4 linked regions of the Saccharomyces cerevisiae S288C genome follow. Changing the gene in region 3 together with the main gene of any one other region gives a genetic interaction. Each region holds a gene or a part of one and is shown on either strand. Other genes may lie near its edges. The genes, in order: YAT1, RAS1, CIT2 and AGC1.

Region 1 (6,571 bases), on a different chromosome or scaffold from region 3:
ATCTCATGTCCCTTCTATCCTCTTTTTTCATCTCCGGGACAGACCGACAATAAAGCATCTAATATTAGGCTTTCGTTAGAGGTAAGCACACGCCAGCGTTCGGTGAAAGGGGAATGAAACATTATCACGTACAAGATGAATAAATATCTATTTGACCATAAAATATGGAGTACTCCTTACTACTTTTATTGCGAAGAAGATTGCCACCGTCTTTTTCTAAGTTTTATTGAGGGAAGAACTTTCGAGAAGCCAACAAGCAACGCTGAGGAAAATGTACAGGAGACTGAAGCTGGCGAATCTTTCACATTAAATCCCGGAGAAGATTTTCAAAATTGCTTTCCAAGACAGCGGATATTGTAGAACAATCTCAAGTGAAGTATTGGCAAGATATTGGTGCAATTATTTGAAAGGAAGGAGAAATATTCTGACAGTACCTTGCTAGCAAAGGGATTTACCAATCCACTGACGCTAAAATGGGGTAGTAAATTAGATAAATTGCATTCTAACGTGACTTTATATAGTGGGAAACAGATATGTAGCACACAAAACGGCATGATTATGCTTAATTGATTCCTATTTTTTAACGTAAATACTCTCCCAGAACGATCAGAAAACTTAACCCGCAACCATCTTTGCTGTGCTAACAACTTATGTCGCCTCAATACCATTTTTATTTTGTATCATTCCGGAACTTAGTATTGAATGAAAAATGCCTCCGAAGTAAAAAGCAGGTGATGAAAAGTTTCAATTGGTATAAGACAGATCGCTATTTTGATCCGCATAACATCCTTCAACACCATAGCAGAGCTATAGAGAAGACAAGATATAAACTGGGCATGCAAACATCTTCAGAAAGTACCGACGCCAAGTCGGATTTTCTCGACGAACCCAGTGCATATTTAATTGAGAAAAATGTGGCTCTTCCCAAGGACATATTCGGTTCGTACTTAAGTTATTGGATATATGAAGTTACTCGTCATAAAGCGGCAGTAATTTTGCTCGTACTTATTGTGACTTCAATTTTATTATTAGTGTTTTTTTATAATACGGAATTTTGCGTTGCCTTTGAGATACTATTGTTTTCCTTTTGCTTTCCAGGAACATGCATGGTTGTAATTGCATTTAGTGAACCGATCGGTGATCGGGAATTTAAAGTTAAGCTTCTGATGGAAATTATCACACGTAAACCGGCGGTAAAGGGGAAAGAATGGAGGACAATTACATACAAGATGAACCAGTATTTATTTGATCATGGGCTATGGGATACTCCCTACTACTTTTACCGTGATGAAGATTGCCACCGTTATTTTCTAAGTCTTATTAAGGGAAGAACTTTCAAGAAGCAAAAGGAATCGTCAGCCAGCAATGTTAAAGACGCACAATCAAATGACGAAACCGCTGGCACACCAAACGAAGCCGCTGAGTCTTCTAGTTTTAGTGCCGGACCGAACTTTATAAAGCTCCTCACCAAGGCAGCCGAAATCGAACAACAATTTCAAAAGGAATATTGGCGACAAGAGTATCCTGGTGTCGATGAGTTTTTTTAGACAGAAGACGGGAGACACTAGCACACAACTTTACCAGGCAAGGTATTTGACGCTAGCATGTGTCCAATTCAGTGTCATTTATGATTTTTTGTAGTAGGATATAAATATATACAGCGCTCCAAATAGTGCGGTTGCCCCAAAAACACCACGGAACCTCATCTGTTCTCGTACTTTGTTGTGACAAAGTAGCTCACTGCCTTATTATCACATTTTCATTATGCAACGCTTCGGAAAATACGATGTTGAAAATGCCTCTAGAGATGAAAAACAATCGTAAAAGGGTCCTGCGTAATTGAAACATTTGATCAGTATGCAGTGGCACAGAAACAACCAGGAATACTATAGTCATAGGCAATACAAGGTATATATTGGCTATGCAGACCCCTCCAGAAAGTACCGACGTCAAGTTAGATACACTTAACGAACCTAGTGCACATTTAATTGAGAAAAATGTGGCTCTTCCTAAGGACATATTCCGTTCGTACTTGAGTTATTGGATCTATGAAATCGCTCGCTATACACCAGTCATGATTTTGTCCCTGGTAATAGGGGTTTTGGTTTTATTAATTATATTTTTTAATGACAACGAAGCTTGTGTTTTCAATTCTGCAATATTTGCTTTTACTTCTCTTGTAGGTTTGTTAATAATATTAAGTGATGGTAATCCAAAGCTAGTCAGTCGTCGAAATTTTAGGACCGAGCTTTTAGTGGATGTCATCACACGTAAACCGGCGGTAGAAGGGAAAGAATGGAGGATCATCACATACAACATGAACCAATATTTGTTTAATCATGGGCAATGGCATACTCCGTATTACTTTTACAGCGATGAGGATTGCTACCGTTATTTTCTACGCCTTGTTGAGGGAGTAACCCCCAAGAAGCAAACAGCCACGTCAATTGGCAATTCTCCGGTCACCGCTAAGCCTGAAGATGCCATCGAGTCAGCTTCTCCTAGTTCCAGACTGAATTATCAAAACTTTTTGCTCAAGGCAGCGGAGATCGAACGACAAGCTCAGGAAAATTACTGGCGAAGGCGGCATCCCAATATCGATGCGCTTCTTAAAAAGACGGAATAGCTTAGAGACACTACCATACGTAAAGCGAACATAAACTAGAGTATGATATATAATCAGCACTAACTGGCCGGAAAACGGCCGAAGGAAGCCTCGAAAAGTCGATTCGTGTTGGACCCATTTGCTGAACAAAGTGGTTCATTGCCTACCTATTATGGTAGTAGTCGTGATAATCGTGTGGTTGGTTTTGTCAACGGTGCATTTGCATTTTCATGACAATAAACCTTGCGTTTTCGTTCTCGGGATATTACTTTCCCTCCACTTCTTTCGCCTCAATAGCTCCTATAAGCATTCTCAGGGCGTATGTCGGTGATCGAGATTTCCAAGCAAGCTTTTAGTGGAAATCATCGCGCGCAAGCCAGCGGTAAAGGGAAAAGAACGGAGGACGATTACATACAAGATGAACGAATAAATAAATTAATAATAAATAATAATAAAAAGTACAGTAGCATTAAATATTATTAAGTTTAATGATTAAAAATTGGTTAATTGTCAAGAAAATCTAAGGTATTAATAAATAAATAATACTATGACAACTTGCAGCGAAAGCATCAGCCCCAATGAAAATTAATCAGAATTGAATCTGAGCGTATTTATTTGATAACGGTTTACGTAACTGTTGGAATAAAAATCAACTATCATCTACTAACTAGTGTTTACGTTACTAGTATATTATCATATACGGTGTTAGAAGATGACGCAAATGATGAGAAATAGTCATCGTTTTCAACGGAAGCTGAAATACAAGGATTGATAATGTAATAGGATCAATGAATATCAACATATAAAACGATGATAATAATATTTATAGAATTGTGTAGAATTGCAGATTCCCTTTTATGGATTCCTAAATCCTCGAGAAGAACTTCTAGTATATCTACGTACCTAATATTATTGCCTTATTAAAAATGGAATCCCAACAATTATCTCAAAATTCCCCCAATTCTCATCAGTAACACCCCACCCCGTATTACTTTTACCGTGATGAAGATTGGCATCGTTACTTTCTAAACGTAGGACGTGCGGAATGACAAAACCATCAGCAGTGTCACGATCTCTCCAGTCACAATGGCAATCATGAGTGCATAGTCCAAAGTAAAGGGGCAAGGAAAAGCATGATTGAAAGGACTCCCCATCTGGACTCTATATGTCATCAGCGGCTAAAAAAAAGCATATAGCACAACATCAGCATCAGCATCAGCACTAGAGTCATCGGCCCGGCGGTCCGCGGTCATCCCCGCGGACTTTCCGTCCGCCCGGCGGGCTGTATCAGCGTCAACTGGAACGCGCATATATATACAAGACACACATAACATAGAAGCACACCCACGACAATAACCACACGACAATAACCACACCCGCCCACCCCTCCTTTCCGTATACAATGCCAAACTTAAAGAGACTACCCATCCCGCCACTGCAGGACACGCTCAACCGCTACCTGGCACGCGTGGAACCCCTGCAGGACGAGCGCCAAAACCGCCGTACGCGCCGCACTGTGCTCTCCGCAGAAAACCTGGACGCATTGAACACGCTGCACGAGCGGCTGCTAGAATACGACGCACGGCTCGCGGAAAGCAACCCAGAGTCCTCATACATCGAGCAGTTCTGGTATGACGCGTACTTGCTATATGATGCAACTGTCGTTCTCAACGTCAACCCGTACTTCCAACTGCAGGACGACCCAACCATCAAAGACACACCAGAGACGGCGGCACAGGGCCCCTATGGCGCACACACGGTGCAGGTTCGTCGTGCCGCACGACTCACCACCTCTATTCTCAAGTTCATCCGCCAGATTCGCCACGGCACACTCCGCACAGACACTGTGCGCGGCAAAACGCCGCTGTCGATGGACCAGTATGAGCGGCTATTCGGCTCCAGTAGAATCCCTCCGGGTCCCGGCGAGCCCTCTTGCCACTTGCAAACAGACGCCACGTCGCATCACGTGGTGGCGATGTATCGTGGCCAGTTCTACTGGTTCGACGTGCTGGACACACGCAACGAGCCCATCTTCGCCACCCCAGAACAACTGGAGTGGAACCTCTACTCGATCATCATGGACGCGGAATCCGCCGGAAGCGGATCCGCGCCCTTTGGCGTGTTCACCACAGAGTCGCGCCGGGTGTGGTCCAACATCAGGGACTATCTGTTCCATGCGGACGACTGCACCAACTGGCGCAATCTCAAGCTGATCGACTCCGCGCTGTTCGTGGTCTGTCTCGACGACGTGGCGTTTGCCGCCGATCAGCAGGACGAGCTCACGCGTTCGATGCTGTGCGGGACTTCTACCATCAATCTCGACCCGCACCAACACCAGCCGCCATTGAACGTGCAGACAGGCACCTGTCTCAACCGCTGGTACGACAAGTTACAACTGATCGTGACCAAGAACGGTAAGGCGGGCATCAACTTCGAACACACCGGTGTGGACGGCCACACTGTGCTGCGGCTCGCCACAGACATCTACACAGACTCGATCCTGAGCTTCGCACGCGGTGTCACCAAGAACGTCGTCGACATCTTTAGCGACGACGATGGAAAACCATCGTCGTCGTCGTTGGCCTCGGCGGCTCACTCCGCCAACTTGATCACCATCCCTCGTAAACTGGAATGGCGCACTGACAATTTCCTGCAATCGTCGCTGCACTTTGCCGAGACGCGCATCTCGGACTTGATCTCGCAATACGAGTTTGTTAATCTTGACTTCTCCAACTACGGCGCGTCCCATATCAAGACAGTGTTCAAGTGCTCGCCAGACGCCTTCGTGCAGCAGGTGTTCCAGGTCGCATACTTCGCGTTGTACGGTCGCTTCGAGACCGTGTACGAGCCTGCCATGACCAAGGCGTTCCAAAACGGCCGCACAGAGGCCATCCGCTCCGTCACGGGCCAATCGAAGCTCTTTGTCAAGTCACTACTGGACCAGGATGCCTCGGACGCCACCAAAATTCAGCTCTTGCACGACGCCTGTACGGCGCACTCGCAAATCACAAGGGAATGCTCCCAGGGGCTCGGCCAGGACCGTCACTTGTATGCGCTCTACTGCCTCTGGAACCAATGGTACAAGGACAAGTTGGAGCTCCCACCCATCTTCCGCGACAAGTCCTGGACTACCATGCAGAACAACGTCTTGAGCACCTCCAACTGCGGTAACCCCTGCCTCAAGAGCTTCGGGTTCGGGCCTGTCACCGCCAACGGCTTCGGCATCGGCTACATCATCAGAGACCACTCCGTCTCTGTGGTGGTGTCCTCAAGGCATCGCCAGACTGCTCGGTTTGCGTCGCTCATGGAAAAGTCGCTGCTGGAGATCGACCGCATCTTCAAACGGCAGCAAGCTCGCGCAGCAAAACCCGCTGCCAGGACCACTGCTAGCGCCAACACCAAATCAGAAGACATGAAATACCTGTTGTCCGGCTACGATTACTTCGACGTGAGCGTGTCCGGTTGAGTTTATGCTGAGTTTTTGCGCATCAATATTATTTTTACTACTACTACTACTACTACTACTACTACATACTATTAAATATACTAAATAAGAGGAAAACGCTTTGGAAGTGACTGGCGCCGCCGCTGGCTACTATAATAGCAGCGACTGTAATTTAATCTCATCCCGTCGTTTGGATTACCTCTTTTACTCGCCGAGCGAACGTGCACCAAAAAGGGAAAGGAAAAAAAGAAAAAAAAAGGAAAAAGGAAACTCAAAACTTGGATAAATAGAAGCACTCAAACTAAATTAAACTGCCAAAAAAAAAAAAAATAAAAAGGGAAAAGTTTAAACATCAAAGTACACCTTTCACCCCTCCACACACCATGGAACAACCTGATCTATCGTCTGTGGCCATCAGTAAGCCGCTGCTGAAGTTGAAACTTCTCGACGCCCTTCGCCAGGGAAGTTTCCCCAACCTACAAGATCTCCTAAAGAAACAATTCCAGCCGCTAGACGACCCA
Region 2 (3,739 bases), on a different chromosome or scaffold from region 3:
TCATGTACTACTAAATTCTACAATATAAACAAGTTGCCAAAGCCTGCTGGTTGGCAAAACCATATCGGTTGATTATACTGTAATCAGCCCACGTTGTCTTTGTATTTTCCACTTTTTTTATTTATACTATTTAAAGAAACAGAATAAATTATAACTCTTTTTTTTACATATCACATTTATATTTACTCCATTGCGTTACAAATATGAACGCTTCGACAACAACGCCAAGGAAACCGGGATAACCCAACTGATATTTTCTACCATACACTGAACGAAATTGCAGAACCAAAAAATAACAAAAAGTTCCCAAAAGGAATGCCAGAAAAAAATGGGAGGCAGGTCCACCTAACAAAAATTTAATCATATGCCATACTTCTTGAACAGTGAATGAGTCATCTCCACACCTAAAAATGTGGCCGCATTGGCTGGGAAAGATCTTAGTAAAGCAGGACCTAAACCAGGGAAAAATCCCTTGATACCACCTCTTTGTAGATAAATTTCCTTTGTGGCGGAAAGCATATTCTGCCTCGTGGAGGAAGCCTGCAATTTTGTCTTTATAGTGTCTATGGGGAAAACAGCTAGCCACATCGACATACCAGCAATACCACCAGCAAGACACACGTTCAAGATATTGACCGGTTCATCTTTGCCCGCATCTTGACGAGGTTGCCTACTATTCAAGTAATTTTTTGAAATTTCATAAGATGCAAAATATAGAGCTGAGCCAGGCCCATCTCTTGCTAAAGTGGCTAATGAACCTTTAAATAAAGAAGCTATGCCACCTTCTTTAACAATGGTTTTAGCCGCCTGAATGAAAGAGCCCTTAGAAGATGTTTGCAGGACAACCTTTACTCTTTCCGTTGGCGCAGTCACTAAAGTGGTAGGAATAGCGCTGATAAATCCTGCTGCAGCCATTTGTCCCATAGTTAACTCGTTACTGCCTCCTTGCTTGTTATTAAAAGTAACCAGTTTCTTACCCACATCGTAACCCCAGAAAGAAACAGCGAATATGGGAGTAACACCTAATAAGGGCGGGATAACACCTTTATAGAACCCCTTTACGGAATTGGTAAATAATGTGCCCTTTACTTGAGTTTTTGCTTCTTTTATAATATTTGTAATGGCATGTACCGTGGAATTCGCTTGTCCATTTTGACATCTCACTTTAATCAAATCGAAGGGATGACCCGTAAACACCGCACATACCCCGCCAACTCCACCGGCCACAAATGATTTGATATTTTCGCGTACAGGGTTTGATTTTATAGGTGGACGAGACTTGGTCAAGCTCCCACTCTCTTCTTTCAATAATGAAGATTCTGATAATGAAGTGTCTGAAGACATTACTGACACGATGACGTTTGTGGAGGATAAGAAAGTCGTACAATACGTAGAATCCAAGGAAAACCTGGAATAAAAACACACATAGAGCGCAATTGAATATCGGCTATTTCTACAGTACAAGCGTCTGCCTATATATGCGCTTGAAATATATCTATTTCGACTAAAGGAATTATACCATCATGCATCTTTACTCTTAAATCTCCATTTGTCCACCGACTTATTGCGGCAAGTGGAGATCCAGTCACGCCGGATGACTGGGTGTAGATAAATAGCCGCCCAACTGATCCCTGCATAAAGCTTATATGCGGATATTAGGAGCAGTAACCCGATGACATTAAGCGTGTAGCCACAAGGAACTTCACCATTACTCATAGCAGAAAAAGCAGTGACCAAAAAATGGCAGGAATGACTCTTTTCTGTTTCCCCTCATATACACTGAAACATCTCGATATAAAGCATGCCCTTTATTGTACCATCAATGCAATGTAACGGCAAACGAGGCTAGGAATATGTATTACCCGCACTGAATTGCTTCTTCACTTAGCACACCCTTGATCGCTATGTTCTACGCTGCTACCCGTTCGGTAGGGAGTGGCGGGGAAATTCACATTGGCACAATGTAAACCCGTAGGAAAAAAAAAAAGCACGAAGAAAAAAAAAGAAACCAAAAATATTTACTACATGTAAGTCTATGGACATTTGACAACAAACTTTTTCAACTCATCGCAAGATTATGAATTTTTCACGGCTTTTCAGGTTTTTTCCTCCTTTTGTTTTACATTGAAAGGTTTATATTTTATGTCTTTGTATGGTTCTCTTAATTTGGATTCTTTCTTGTACGGTGTCTCTATTATCATCTGTCTTGTTCTTTCTTGCAATGCTTAATTAACTGCTGCCACAATTGACTTCGGTTTGGCTATTTCACGATTGAACAGGTAAACAAAATTTTCCCTTTTTAGAACGACATGCAGGGAAATAAATCAACTATAAGAGAGTATAAGATAGTAGTTGTCGGTGGAGGTGGCGTTGGTAAATCTGCTTTAACAATTCAATTCATTCAATCATACTTTGTGGACGAATATGACCCTACTATCGAAGATTCTTACAGAAAACAAGTTGTCATCGATGACAAAGTATCCATTTTGGACATTCTAGATACTGCTGGACAAGAAGAGTATTCTGCGATGAGAGAACAGTACATGAGGACTGGGGAAGGTTTCCTACTGGTCTATTCCGTCACCTCTAGAAATTCCTTTGATGAGTTACTGTCTTATTATCAGCAAATTCAAAGAGTAAAAGATTCTGACTACATTCCTGTAGTCGTGGTAGGTAACAAATTGGACCTTGAAAATGAAAGACAAGTCTCTTATGAAGACGGGTTACGCCTGGCCAAGCAGTTGAATGCACCCTTTCTAGAAACGTCTGCGAAACAAGCCATCAACGTAGACGAGGCCTTTTATAGCCTTATTCGTTTGGTAAGGGACGACGGTGGGAAATACAATAGCATGAATCGTCAACTGGATAATACGAATGAAATAAGAGATTCGGAGCTAACCTCATCTGCAACAGCGGATAGAGAAAAAAAGAACAACGGGTCTTATGTACTCGATAATTCTTTGACCAATGCTGGCACTGGCTCCAGTTCAAAGTCAGCCGTTAACCATAACGGTGAAACTACTAAACGAACTGATGAAAAGAATTACGTTAATCAAAACAATAACAATGAAGGAAATACCAAGTACTCCAGTAACGGCAACGGAAATCGAAGTGATATTAGTCGTGGTAATCAAAATAATGCCTTAAATTCGAGAAGTAAACAGTCTGCTGAGCCACAAAAAAATTCAAGCGCCAACGCTAGAAAAGAATCTAGTGGTGGTTGTTGTATAATTTGTTGAAAATGATCCTGCTCTCTTGATATGACATGGTTTTGATTGCAAGTCTATTCTTACTTGTTCAATTGGTTTCACCAGCATCTTTTTGTATCCATTTTCCTATGCTGTGTATCTAGTAAAAGAGTTGCTTGCCACCAAACATTAATACTAATGGTTAATCTGCCACCTTTTGTAAGCTTTCTATAATGTACAATTGTAATATGTTCTTTTATTCTCGTACAAAGTATATATACTATACACATACAAGCATGCATGCAAGCACGCCGGCAAACCCTTCCTCAATTTATAAAATGTAAACAAACGAAATGTAAAATCAAACTAGCAACAATAAACTCGGCAAAAGCTCTGTTTTTAGAAATGCCTGGAAAACTATTACACAATTGTAACCGCAAACTCATCAATAGGACGAATTGTCCCACACAAATAATGAATCCCGCTAAAAACGCATTGAATGGAAAATTATCACGGATCAAGATAATGAATGTACACTGGATCACCCCTAA
Region 3 (5,845 bases):
ATCAAGAGTTTTGCTTGACAAAAAACAACTATATTTCAAAATATTAGGAAATGATATTATTAGTACAAGGACTTACAGAAATATACTTTTAATATAAAAAGGAAAAAATAAAATAAAAAGAGTTAATTCTTTATTAATTTTCCAACGTCCTACATTGATATATCTGCTGAGATAGAATTAATGTTAGTAAGAACTAAATATTAGACGCGAACTGTTGTTTCTTACATGACAGTACAGCAGGATAATAATCCTTTGTCCTCCTTCTTTTCTGCAGTTGTAGCTGCTGCAGGTTTAGTTTGTCTCTTAGCCGCATCAGAAGTAGTGGTCTTCTTTTCAGTGGAGGGCTTGGCTTCTTTTGCAGGGAAAAGTTTTTTGGCGGTTTCGTAGAATGTTTTACCTTGAATTTCAGCAATTCTCAATTCAAGTGGAGACGCAGTTCTTGAGCCGTCAGGTCCTGCAAGGGTACCAGCACCCCATGGAGAGCCACCGTGTACCTCTTCTATACTGGCTAACTCAGCAAATGAATTCTTATAACCCAGTGGTAAAAAGATAATTCCGTGATGAGCTAAATAAGACAAACAGGCTTTAACGGTACTTTCTTGACCACCTCCGTAACTGGAAGTACTAACGAATATCCCCGCAGCTTTGCCGTTCAAAGAGCCCTTGGCCCATAATCCACCGGTTTTATCCCAAAAGGCGGACCATTGAGCCGGCAAATTACCAAACCTAGTTGGAACACCGAACAAAAAGGCGTCATATTCGAGCAACGTTTTCTCAGTGGCAACAGGAATATCTTCAGGTTTCTGAGGAGCGTTCATCTTGGTGAGGACTTCATCAGGTAAAGTTTCCTCGACCCTGTATATATCAGCTTTACCACCAGCTGCCTCCACACCTTTCTTAACAGCTTGGGCTAAAACGTCTATGTGCCCGTAGGTAGAGTAAGTAATTATCGCAATCTTTACCATTCTTATAGTGCTTCAATTGAGTCTGTATTGTTTTGTTTACTCTCTTTTTTTTTATTGATACTAACCTGACCCCTCTTTTCCTTTTTCCTCTTCTTGTTTTCTTTCTGATAAAGTTTACAAACTTCAAATAAAAATGAACGTAAAACAAGTAAAAATGTAGGATGTTATAGTATCAACTAGCTGCCGGAATAGTGCAAATTGTATGAATCGAAATAAGTACGCTAGCCAAGGCAGTAAGGCCTAATGCCCTTAGGCAAATTTATTATTTATATTAAGTTCCAAGAAGGGGAAGCGCCTTCTTTCCCCGCAGTACAGTATTTTACCCGGAGGTTCTTAATAAGTTATTACTAAAAGGGTCATAACGGATTTATTAATAATGGGATTATAAAAATAATGCGTGTGTACCTAGTTATCGCGTGATAGCTTCCGCAATTTTCCAACCATTAGTAAATTTTATGTAACTAAAACGAGGAAGGAAATAGTAACGTTCATTTTCTTAATTATAAATATCATTATCATAGTGTATGGTTAAAAGAATATATTATTGTATTAAATAAGTGCTAAATACTAAATGGTCATGAGGAAAGAAAAATATGCAGAGGGGTGTAAAAGTAGGATGTAATCCAACTATAGTTTGCTTTCAATGTTTTTGACCAATTCCTTGTATTTCTCAGTAGAATAGGACTTTGGCCTTTCAATGGAAGCACCGATGGCCCTATCAGTGATCAATTGAGCAAGAATACCAAATGCCCTTGAAACGCCAAATAAAACGGTATAGAAAGAAGATTCTTTTAGTCCATAATATTGTAATAAGACACCAGAGTGAGCATCTACATTTGGCCATGGATTTTTGGTTTTACCATGTTCAGTCAATACGCCAGGTGCTACCTCGTATATTGATGAAACTAACTTGAATAATTCATAATCTGGAAAATGGTCCATGGCAAACTTACGCTGAGCCATATAACGAGGATCAGTTTTCCTTAGCACAGCATGACCATAACCGGGAATGACTCTTCCTGAGTTTAGAGTATCCCATAAATATTTTTCGATCGTATCTTTAGAGTAGTCATCATTTACCTCTTCTTTAAGTGCAAATAACCATTCTAGTACTTCTTGATTAGCACGCCCATGAAGTGGGCCAGCCAACCCGTTCAAACCTGATGCAAGGGACAGATAAGGTGATGATAGTGCTGAGCCCACAAGATGGGATGTATGTGCAGATACATTACCACCTTCGTGATCCGAATGAATGGTTAAATAAAGTCTCATCAAGTCCACGAAATCTTCATCCTTAGAACCAATCAAGTTGACCAGATTTTTAGCATAATCGGCATTTGGGTCCACTTCACCCATTTTGCCATCTTTGAATACATTACGATAAATTTTAGCTGCAATAACTGGCAATTTACCCAGCAAGTCTAGTGAATCTTCAAAAGTATAACTCCAATAATCTTGCTTGGAAATTCCTTGAGCATAAGCCTTAGCAAACTTTGACTCGCTTTCCAAGGCAGTTACAGCAATAGAGAATTGAGCCATTGGGTGTAAGTCCTTTGGTAAATTATCCAAAAGTTGAACGACATGACTAGGTAGTTCCGATCTTGACATTAGATCAGCTGATAAGTTTTCAACTTGCGCTTGAGTTGGAACCTCGCCAGTTAGCAATAACCAAAAGAGAGCTTCTGGTAGTGGTTGTGAGCTTCCTTTTGCCTTGGGCAGGTCCTTTTGAATGTCGGCGATCGTACGACCTCTGAAACGAATACCGTCTTCTGGGTCCAAAACGGAACCTTCCCATACGCTCCCTGGAATACCTCTCATACCACCATATACCTGTTCTAATAGAACATCGCTAATTTTAGTTTTGCCATGCTCTTTAACGAATTGCCTTACATCTTGAGCATGGATGGGGTAGATTTCGCTAAATCTCTCTTTTAGAGTCTTTTCTTGGCTTGAATTTGATTGTAAATATGATGCAACATTTCTGTTTGAATTTAGATAAGGAACTGTCATTTTTCTTGTTACTAGTATTATTAAAACAAAAAGTTTTGAGAACCTGTTATGATATGTGTTGATATTGTTCCCTGAAACTTAATAATGAGGAACGAACACCATATCTAAAGAACCAAGTTTTAATAGTCTTATATACGCTCAACGTCGAGAATAATGGGCCCTTTTGAGAGCATGACTATCTTTAGATTAACGTCACCAATTTCATACGAATGTAACGCTCAAAAGGTAATTGCGCTTACCATTGTTATTGTTTTTCCGCTGTGCCTCCCATTGCTGACGCCCTGATAGACGTCTAGCTACGGAAAAGGTCACACTTTTTTTCTGCAAGAAAAAATAGGTCGTGACCTCTTCGCCCCTAGTCGATGACCACCGGATAAATGCGTCGAATGTGCGCGCTATTAGTTTGCGCTCTTTTGAGATACCGCCAAGCCATTGATTGAATGACCCAAGGACGGATTTGTTCAACACTCCAAAGCGGCTTATGTTGTGGCAACAACTCTGGGGAAAGTCAGCGCAATGTTTTCCCCTAAGGATTCGCGCGAGCCGTGTGTAACAAAGTTCCGCCGGTATAGCATATCTAAACCACAGAAGGACGCTTATACGGCCGTCTTCCACAGTAATTAGAAGGACATTAGTCGGAGTGTAAATAAGACGGTTGCATACGCGTATGAACATGGGCCATTCATTTTACGGAAATGGCAACACATTTTCTTGTTTTTAATGTAAATAGTACGGAGTTCCTTTTTGGTGCGCTGAATGTATGCCGTAGTTTGGTTTCTTGCCAGGCGTGAGAAGAGAGGTCACACATGCTGTTGGGGTTCATGATTTTCAGCCTTCGCTCTGCTAAGTAAAAGGTCCATTGATCCGAAGCGCTTCCTCCAATATCGCAGTGATAAACGGTCATGTAAGCCTACAGTCTTTAAACTGTAGATGATTTAATGGATTATCTCATACATTGAATATCACACTTCAGCAGTTCAAGTTTTCATTAACATTGGTCTTCTCCAGCTTACTCTGTAAAGTCCGCTGCAGTTTTCTAGAAATCATAATCTGTACCTCCATTCAGCCATCTGAGGAACCTCCGAAATAACGAGTAAATGTTCAAACATGCCATGCGCCTTGGTTTATTGTACGAGTTTTAGCATATTGCAAAAAAAAACTGCTCCTGAGTACACTTGTTTTACGTCGGAAAGATAAATGCCGTACCATTTCTGCCAGTAGCGACACCACACATTGTAAAAACAATGTGGGGCGAGCCGGGACTCGAACCCGGGACCTCCCGCACCCTAAGCGAGAATCATACCTCTAGACCACACGCCCTCCTTTGAAAAATCCCGGCAGAACAGCGCCTGAAGTCTGGGATACAGCCCTATTTTCCCTGCCATCGTCATTGACCTTTTTCTTAACGACCAGATTAACAGCCAGTTATTGAAAGTTTGCGAACGTGAAGTAAAACTGCAAAATGGTCGTTTTAAGTCAAAAGTAACCCTGCGTCACACATGAGAAACATTATCGCTAAGTTGTTGTTACTACTTCTTGTAATTAACTTACTGTCGCATTCCAAATGGACTGCGAAACAGACACGAAACAATTACGAAAGTGACGACAGAGTAAATATTGTCATTAAAGAGAATGATGACCTCCGGGTAAACTGTGAGAATAAGTCTAGACCATTCGTTAAACTTCATCTTTAATTGAGAAGCATAGTAAAAAATAATTAACAAGTTAACACAACTATCTTGACCCATGCTACCAAGGACATAAGTAATATCCTCCACCACTTTTACTCAAAGTATATCTCATTCTGAGAAATGGGTGAATGTTGAGATAATTGTTGGGATTCCATTGTTGATAAAGGCTATAATATTAGGTATACAGAATATACTAGAAGTTCTCCTCGAGGGTCTAGGAATCCCCATAATGGAATCTATATTTCTATATACCAATATTACGATTATTCCTCATTCCGTTTTATATGTTTCATTATCCTATTACATTATCAATCCTTACACTTCAGCTTCCTCTAACTTCGATGACAGCTTCTCATAACTTATGTCATCATCTTAACACCGTATATGATAATATATTGATAATATAACTATTAGTTGATAGACGATAGTGGATTTTTATTCCAACACATTCGAGCTAGTATAAAATTGTGAGGAATTATCGGGCATCTTGTTTATTAGGTACGCAAATTGTAATAATTGCCAAGTTGTGCTTTTTAGTTGAGAAGTATTCCGTCCTCATGAAATGGCTAATATAAGTATGGATTTCATAAATATTATCCAAAGTAATTATACACACTTGTTTTTTGCTATGTCTTGGGTTTAAGAGAAAATGCTACATAGACCGTAAGAACGTCTTCAAGAATGCAAGGATGCTGCAAGCGAAGTTGTTCCCGTTATGAAGCAGAAAGGGCACATCAACATGGTTCAAAGATTTAAATTTCGGCACTTGTTCTTGTTCACTATATGTTTTAAGATTCTTATCGTGCAAGTATTCAATTATATCCTCTAAGTGACCGAACAATCAACACATCAAGATTTTTGTAGTTTTGAAGTTCCACAACCTACAGGTTAGTGCTATTTGGTCTAATTTATACATGGGAACTATGTGAAACAGTAATGTTAGCACAATGGACCTCTCAAAGCCTAAGAAAATTTTGCTGGGGACAAAAAGTGGTTCTTGATGGTAAAGAAGTAGTTTAGCTTCATAATAATTTCTTTGTAAAATTTTTCTCGTAGCACACTAAGCTTTCAGAAATCAAATAAGGCAGAGGAAGTGGTTTTGTCGTATTCAATGACTAATTGTAAGACTCGAGTATAACTTATGCAGTTTCCAAGAAGTAAGCAAACAGTTTCTCTCAA
Region 4 (7,289 bases), on a different chromosome or scaffold from region 3:
AACAACAATTACCACCCCAGAATCCATTTGGAGATCCATTAACATCTTCCTCTAGCGGTGCTAATTTGTCAGTTATGCAGGACCTTTTTTCTACAAATTTTTTGAACAGCGACCCATTACAATCTTTCATGCAAGAACTTTCTGAAGCCCCGCAAGTAAGTATTGAAGATACATTTTCTGACAAGAATACAATCCCACCTAATGAAAAACCTGTTCAACAAGACGAAGGGTTCCAGAATCCTCCAGTTATGTTTGAGTTACCACAAGATAACATTAAAATTCCCAAAGCACAACCGAAGTTCAACGATAACCCCAGTACTTCAGTGAAGGACAATCTTTCCAGTCAGAAGCTTAATATCAACGAGCTAAAACGGAGATCATCTAAAGATTCAGGAGTAGGAAACAATTCCTCTCTGAACTACAAGGAACAGTTGCGTCACTCTATGAAAAGTGTCCCGTCATTTTTCCATCCGGATCCCTTAACAAAGTATAAGATATCAAAAGAAAAATGTCAAGAAATGTTTTCATTTGTTCCAGAATTACGCTATGTCTCTATTGAATCTATACACAAATCGTTAAAATCCTTCTGGTTGAACTTCCATCCACAATACGGTCTGCTTCACAAACCCTCTTTTCACGTTGATAAACAGCCTGCAATTTTGAATTTGGCACTAATTATGACTGGCGCAAGTTTTTTGGGAAGCGAGTATCGTGAACAGATTAGTGACCCAATTTGTGGTCCTCTAAGATGGATAATTTTTTCTCATGCTGATTTTCAACCACCTTCTAAAACCTACATCATTCAAAGTTTATTATTAGTCGAAGGATATGAAAAAACAAGTACGAACAGGTATTTACATGAAAGGTCTTTTTTACATCACGGAACGACCATTCAATTGCTAAGGCGAACGCCCTCTTTAGGCGGCCATCCCTTAATGGTCAAAACCGGCAAAACCTCTGGGGAAAATTCAATTCAAGACCCACAAGAAGTTTATAAAAGATGGATTGATTTTGAAATGTTGAAAAGAATAGCTTTCTACGCATTTTATATGGACACTACACATGCTGTAGTGTTTGGATACTGGAATTTATTTATTAATAGCAATCAGATTCAACTAACTTTACCCTGTCCAGATCAAGTGTGGGAATCTTATGATTTGAGCTATGAAACTCTGATGGAGCATGGGTATGGCAGCACAAAGAGAGATGAGAATAATACATTTTTGTCTGCGTTAATGCAATTAATGAAAAATGTCATTCAAATCTTACGAAATAATAATATACGGAGAAACAAAGTCAACAATGGTGGAATAGAGAGTACCCCTACAGACTTGGAAAGCACTACAGATTGGAATATTCAGAGTCTTTTTGGTAAAAAGATTCTTTTGGCGGGGATAATTTCGATCTTATTTCAATGTCAAGAGGAAGTTAATGGTGACTATTTCATTACTAACTTTAGGGGCGGAATCACTGATCATTTAGGCCTTTCATGGAAAGATATTTTATCATTTGCAATGAACTATTGGCTTCACGAAGTTCAGAAAAGCTGCACTGATCCGAAAGCATGTAGGATAAGTACTCCATCTGAGGAGACACTAACGAACAGAAAAATTGACGAGGATAATGGAGATGGACTATGTGATGATGATTTGGACTTGCTTTCCTCCGATAATCCGTCAAATTGTAAAATTCCCGTTATTCATATCTCTCAAATTGTCCTACGTATTCTTCATCATGATTATTACATATATGCAGGAGCACCTTGGAGAATGAATGTACCAATTGGTCGCGATGAATATGACATGATCAGTCGCAGGATTCTCCAGTTCGCTAAGGACCCCTACAATGGGGGTGTAGCTGTAGTCTATGCCTTCCAGTTCTTATTTGAAATGTTTATCATTAAGGAAAATAACGTTCCAACCGTAGTGAAGAGCTACAATATAAATTCTGATCCTGTGATTACTAGACCCTATGCGATTGCATTAACTTCACTCCTAATTTGGTCTTGTAATTTTGCATTACATGGCTGTGAAGTTAGCATATGGGATAATACAGAAGCCTCAAAGGATGAATGCTTTCAACCAGATGACAGCAATGGTGGAAACATTCTAGGCAATACTGATAATAATGGATCGACGATTGCAAACAACAATTTAAAGGAAAAGAACAATTACATTCCAATAGAAAGTTTTGAAGTTTACCTATTGAGAATGTATCGGAACTTATATGTGGATAGCTCACTCGATGTAGTTAGCTTTCAGAATGACGTTTGGGCAAAAGCGAGTTTACTTCAACATATTTCTAATACCCACTTTCTATGCGGGATGATGCAGTTTATGAGAGATATTTTCAACAAGAGCTACTGGGATTTAGGGCGCGAATTCGGAAAACTCTTCGATAATTGTTTGGAAAGGAGCCTAGGGAAAACGTCACCCACTTGTCATAACATGTTTGATGTTTAGTTTATATTCGTATATTGGTAAATCATCATATTTATTGTTAGATTAATGAAATGGTTATGAAAACATTTGTAAACTGCCAGCTGTGAAATTGTTAAATAAAATCGACACTGTATATAATTGCGCTTCATATTTTACATGTAAGTATGATCTATGTTTTACGTAGGAGAAAGAGCTTTCTTTATTGGTCATCCCACTGCAAGCGGTTATGAAAAATTTCTGCAGCATCGCTTTAGGGGAGTACTGCCGGCATGTTGGAAAAACATCTCGAAACATATATTGAATCTCAGAATTAACCAGTATTCGAAGCAAAGAAAAAAATATTTCGAAGATAGATAAATACCTCAAGACGAACCTGTCTTTTATATGTTAAGATTTGATATCTAATCTCACCAGACTTTCAAGTTTTATCTCACAACCTCGCGTTTGCCATAATTTTCGAAGTAGCCTGATCCCTTCTTTGTGAACATATTTCACTGGAAAAGTACATAACTTTCATAGCGTAGTTTGAAAGTATGCAGCTTTGCTACCGACCTTAAAGAATTATTATACTATTATGGAGCAAATCAATTCGAACAGTAGAAAAAAGAAGCAACAATTGGAAGTATTCAAATATTTTGCAAGTGTCCTTACAAAAGAGGACAAGCCTATTAGTATCAGTAATGGTATGTTAGATATGCCGACAGTGAACTCCAGTAAACTCACAGCAGGAAATGGGAAACCTGACACGGAGAAGCTTACAGGAGAACTAATTTTAACATACGACGATTTCATTGAACTGATATCTAGCTCAAAGACTATTTATTCGAAGTTTACGGACCATTCGTTCAATTTGAACCAGATACCCAAGAACGTTTTCGGGTGTATTTTCTTCGCTATTGATGAACAAAACAAGGGATATCTGACGCTTAATGATTGGTTTTATTTTAATAATTTATTAGAATATGATAATTATCATCTCATTATTCTATATGAGTTCTTTAGGAAATTTGATGTAGAGAATTTGAAGGCAAAACAAAAAAAAGAGCTTGGTAGTTCGTCGTTTAATTTAAAGGCTGCAGATGATCGAATTAAGTCAATTAATTATGGTAACAGATTTCTAAGCTTTGATGATCTTCTTTTGAATCTGAACCAATTCAAAGATACTATCCGCCTGTTGCACGAATCTATTGATGATAATTTTGTTAAAGATAACAAATTACTACTTGATTGGAATGACTTTCGATTTCTGAAATTTTACAAATGTTATCATGAAAATGAAGAGTATTTGAGTTTAAACTCTCTGGTCACGATTTTACAAAATGATCTTAAGAATGAAAAAATATTTATAGGTTTTGATAGGTTGGCACAGATGGACTCACAAGGGCATCGTTTAGCCCTAAGCAAAAATCAACTCACCTATCTTCTAAGGTTATTTTACTCTCACAGGGTGTCTGCAGATATATTTTCCTCCTTGAATCTATCAAACACCGAATTACTAAAAGCGGACAATAATTCCATTCCGTACAATGTATTCAAGGATATATTTTATTTATTTCAAAATTTTGACCTACTGAACCAAATATTTCACAAGTATGTTACTGAAAATAATTTGAATGAGCAGGATATTAGGGAACAAATAGTTACTAAAAATGACTTTATGACAGTTTTAAACGCCCAGTATAACAAAGTAAACAATATCATTGAGTTCTCTCCTTCCCAAATCAACCTACTATTTTCTATCGTCGCAAATTCAAAGGAAAACAGAAGATTAAGAAAGAGAAATCAAGATCGAGATGACGAGCTATTAAATGATCACCATTATGATTCAGATATTGATTTTTTTATCCATAATGAGTATTTGCATGGAGTAAGCAGATCCAGAAAAAATTTAGAAAGTTTTAATGACTATTATCATGATCTCTCGGATGGATTTGACCAAGACTCTGGTGTTAAAAAAGCTTCAAAAGCGAGTACTGGCTTGTTTGAATCTGTATTTGGAGGTAAAAAAGATAAAGCAACGATGCGTTCTGACTTAACAATTGAAGATTTCATGAAAATTTTGAACCCAAATTACCTGAACGACTTAGTTCACCAAATGGAATTGCAAAAAAATCAAAATGAGTCATTGTATATTAATTACTACTTTTATCCAATTTTCGATTCGTTGTACAATTTCTCCTTGGGTTCTATTGCGGGTTGTATTGGTGCAACTGTAGTATACCCAATAGACTTTATAAAAACAAGGATGCAAGCCCAAAGATCTTTAGCCCAATACAAAAACTCAATTGATTGTTTGTTGAAGATTATATCCCGCGAAGGAATAAAAGGTCTCTACTCTGGCTTAGGGCCACAATTAATAGGAGTTGCTCCTGAAAAGGCGATAAAATTGACTGTCAATGATTTTATGAGAAACAGGTTGACTGATAAAAACGGCAAGCTAAGCCTTTTTCCTGAAATTATTTCTGGCGCTTCAGCTGGTGCATGTCAAGTTATATTTACTAATCCGTTAGAGATTGTAAAAATTAGGCTACAGGTCCAATCCGACTATGTTGGTGAAAACATACAACAAGCCAATGAAACTGCCACTCAAATAGTCAAAAAATTAGGACTGAGGGGCTTGTACAATGGTGTAGCCGCATGTTTAATGAGAGATGTTCCATTCTCTGCTATTTATTTTCCCACTTATGCACATTTAAAAAAAGATCTCTTTGATTTTGATCCAAATGATAAAACAAAGAGGAATCGATTAAAAACATGGGAGCTTTTAACTGCCGGTGCCATTGCTGGTATGCCAGCTGCCTTCTTGACTACTCCTTTTGATGTTATAAAAACAAGGCTCCAGATAGATCCTCGAAAAGGTGAGACAAAGTATAACGGTATATTTCATGCTATCCGAACTATCTTAAAGGAAGAGAGCTTTAGAAGCTTTTTCAAAGGTGGTGGAGCCCGTGTCCTAAGAAGTTCTCCCCAATTTGGGTTCACTCTGGCCGCCTATGAATTATTCAAGGGCTTTATTCCCTCCCCCGATAACAAATTAAAAAGCAGAGAGGGTAGGAAGAGATTTTGTATCGATGACGACGCAGGCAATGAAGAGACAGTAGTTCATAGTAACGGTGAACTCCCACAGCAAAAGTTTTACTCTGATGATAGAAAACATGCCAATTATTACTATAAAAGCTGTCAAATTGCGAAAACATTCATTGATTTGGACAATAACTTTTCTAGGTTTGACTCTTCAGTTTATAAAAACTTTCAAGAGCACCTAAGAAGCATTAACGGGTGATTTATTTTCTTCGTCAGTTTCTCTGTACATATATATGTATATATTTACTTATTATAATTCATAGCAAAATATATGTTTTTTTTTTTTTCTTATAGTGAGAAAAATTACTAATGATCCTGAGATCAATTTCACTGTAGTTTTTACTATAGTGCAACAAGTATGTTGTTCTTAATAAGTGTAATGAAAGCTCTGAGGTCAAGTTTTCTTTTTTACAGAAAAGTTATATTGGCCTATTTCATAAATAACTGGCGGCAAGAAGCTAATGTAATATAACTCGATATCGCTTTTAATGCCATTGTATGTCATGAAAAGAAAATAAATAGAATTGAGATGAATATATATTCTTTTTTCTAGTTTTGTTCTATTTGTACATTGATTTAATTTAATTAACGAATATACAAGGGTTTTGCGAATAGATAGAATTAAAAAGCTTAGTGATGTTTATATCCCACTAATTTTCTTCTTCCAATTATTTCACCGACAGAATAAAACCCTATCAACTGAATACCATATGCGCCATATTTTAATAGTTCATTCTTTTGGATGTTTTTTAAACACGATAAAACTTCTGTAGGCTTTAGAGCAAAGTTTAGGCTCTGCTTATAAAGGTTCGAATACACTGATTTGAACTGGGCAACAGTTGGTGGTTGAAGACCCTCTTTTAAATAAATCTGTTTTGAAATCTCGGCACCGACTTTACCATAGTATAAAGCCTTTGATGACAAAAGATTTGCTTTAGAAACCAACCCACTGGTATAATTTTGGATCCTGCTTAGCATGATGAATTGATTAGCGTTCTGAAATATGATTTATCGGCAGGTTTATCTTGTCGATTTGGACTGGAGTAGAAAATATGAGGGATCTTTGCATCTTCATTTTTCGGTCTTTAAATGTAATCATCCTTCGGGATAAATTTAGTGCGTTTAACAATATTTTCTTTCAGCCAATCAGGAATAAGAAAAAAGCCGCCCACTCAATCGAGCCTACATACAGTATTGAATAGTGTTACAAAGCATAAGGATGTAAAAAATACAAACTTGCTATAATTAATTAGTATTTATTAATTGTTACGCAGGGAATGATTGTAGTAGACAGCATCAGACACGGTTATTCAGGCGAACTGATCTCCTTACACCCTCGCCAAGGACAATGACCTTGTCCTCTTGTTGCAATCTTGACAAGGCTTCCTGGATATCAGAAGACTCAACTCTATCTTGAGAGTGTTCATTGATTTGTTTTATAAGCTCATTGAATGACATTGAGTCTGATGCCTGATCCTTCAAAACATTCATAATTTCCCTTGACAAATCCTCCTGTAGTTTTCTCTGAATAACTGATTTACCTGTTTGAACTAAATTCATGTCGATTTTACCGGTTTTAGGGTCTGTTGCATAATCTTTTATGGCTGATCTAATTAATCTAACGGCTTCTTGAACATCCTCCAGCTCTACGACGTTTTTCAATTTCATTTTGGCGTGCGCCTCAGCCAAACGAATCATACTTTCAAGTTGTCTTGTGGTAGCTGTGATTCTCTTCTCATCGGATCTCGAATCGTCACCCATCTT

The links.
Region 1: mutations in CIT2 (region 3) and YAT1 impair growth when combined (synthetic growth defect), as found in Saccharomyces cerevisiae (one study listed by BioGRID).
Region 2: of CIT2 (region 3) and RAS1, extra expression of one rescues a mutant of the other (dosage rescue), as found in Saccharomyces cerevisiae (one study listed by BioGRID).
Region 4: of CIT2 (region 3) and AGC1, changing one enhances a phenotype caused by changing the other (phenotypic enhancement), as found in Saccharomyces cerevisiae (one study listed by BioGRID).

What each region holds. Positions count from the first base shown.
Region 1 is NC_001133.9:186,186-192,756, forward strand, and holds YAT1 (carnitine O-acetyltransferase YAT1), read left to right. Parts: upstream 1-4,007; coding exon 4,008-6,071; downstream 6,072-6,571. Other genes in the region: DFP2 (DUP240 family protein), read left to right, coding at 136-360; pheromone-regulated DUP240 family protein PRM9, read left to right, coding at 651-1,547; DUP240 family protein MST28, read left to right, coding at 1,922-2,626; YAR035C-A (uncharacterized protein), read right to left, coding at 6,152-6,232; oxysterol-binding protein related protein SWH1, read left to right, coding at 6,434-6,571. UniProt on the Saccharomyces cerevisiae protein: Involved in the transfer of acetyl-CoA into mitochondria. May also be involved in the metabolism of acetate and of ethanol.
Region 2 is NC_001147.6:512,935-516,673, forward strand, and holds RAS1 (Ras family GTPase RAS1), read left to right. Parts: upstream 1-2,309; coding exon 2,310-3,239; downstream 3,240-3,739. Other genes in the region: alpha-1,2-mannosyltransferase KTR1, read left to right, coding at 1-72; CRC1 (carnitine:acyl carnitine antiporter), read right to left, coding at 361-1,344; OST2 (dolichyl-diphosphooligosaccharide-protein glycotransferase), read right to left, coding at 3,515-3,739. UniProt on the Saccharomyces cerevisiae protein: The S.cerevisiae Ras proteins modulate the activity of the adenylate cyclase catalytic subunit and therefore affect the biosynthesis of cyclic-AMP.
Region 3 is NC_001135.5:119,354-125,198, forward strand, and holds CIT2 (citrate (Si)-synthase CIT2), read right to left. Parts: upstream 2,976-5,845; coding exon 1,593-2,975; downstream 1-1,592. Other genes in the region: YCP4 (flavodoxin-like fold family protein), read right to left, coding at 222-965; YCR006C (uncharacterized protein), read right to left, coding at 3,177-3,650. UniProt on the Saccharomyces cerevisiae protein: Peroxisomal citrate synthase involved in the citrate homeostasis. Catalyzes the condensation of acetyl coenzyme A and oxaloacetate to form citrate. Citrate synthase is the rate-limiting enzyme of the tricarboxylic acid (TCA) cycle.
Region 4 is NC_001148.4:599,084-606,372, reverse strand, and holds AGC1 (citrin), read left to right. Parts: upstream 1-3,015; coding exon 3,016-5,724; downstream 5,725-7,289. Other genes in the region: SDD4 (Sdd4p), read left to right, coding at 1-2,462; ATP20 (F1F0 ATP synthase subunit g), read right to left, coding at 6,156-6,503; MCM DNA helicase complex subunit MCM4, read right to left, coding at 6,822-7,289. UniProt on the Saccharomyces cerevisiae protein: Calcium-dependent mitochondrial aspartate and glutamate carrier. Transport of glutamate in mitochondria is required for mitochondrial transamination reactions and ornithine synthesis.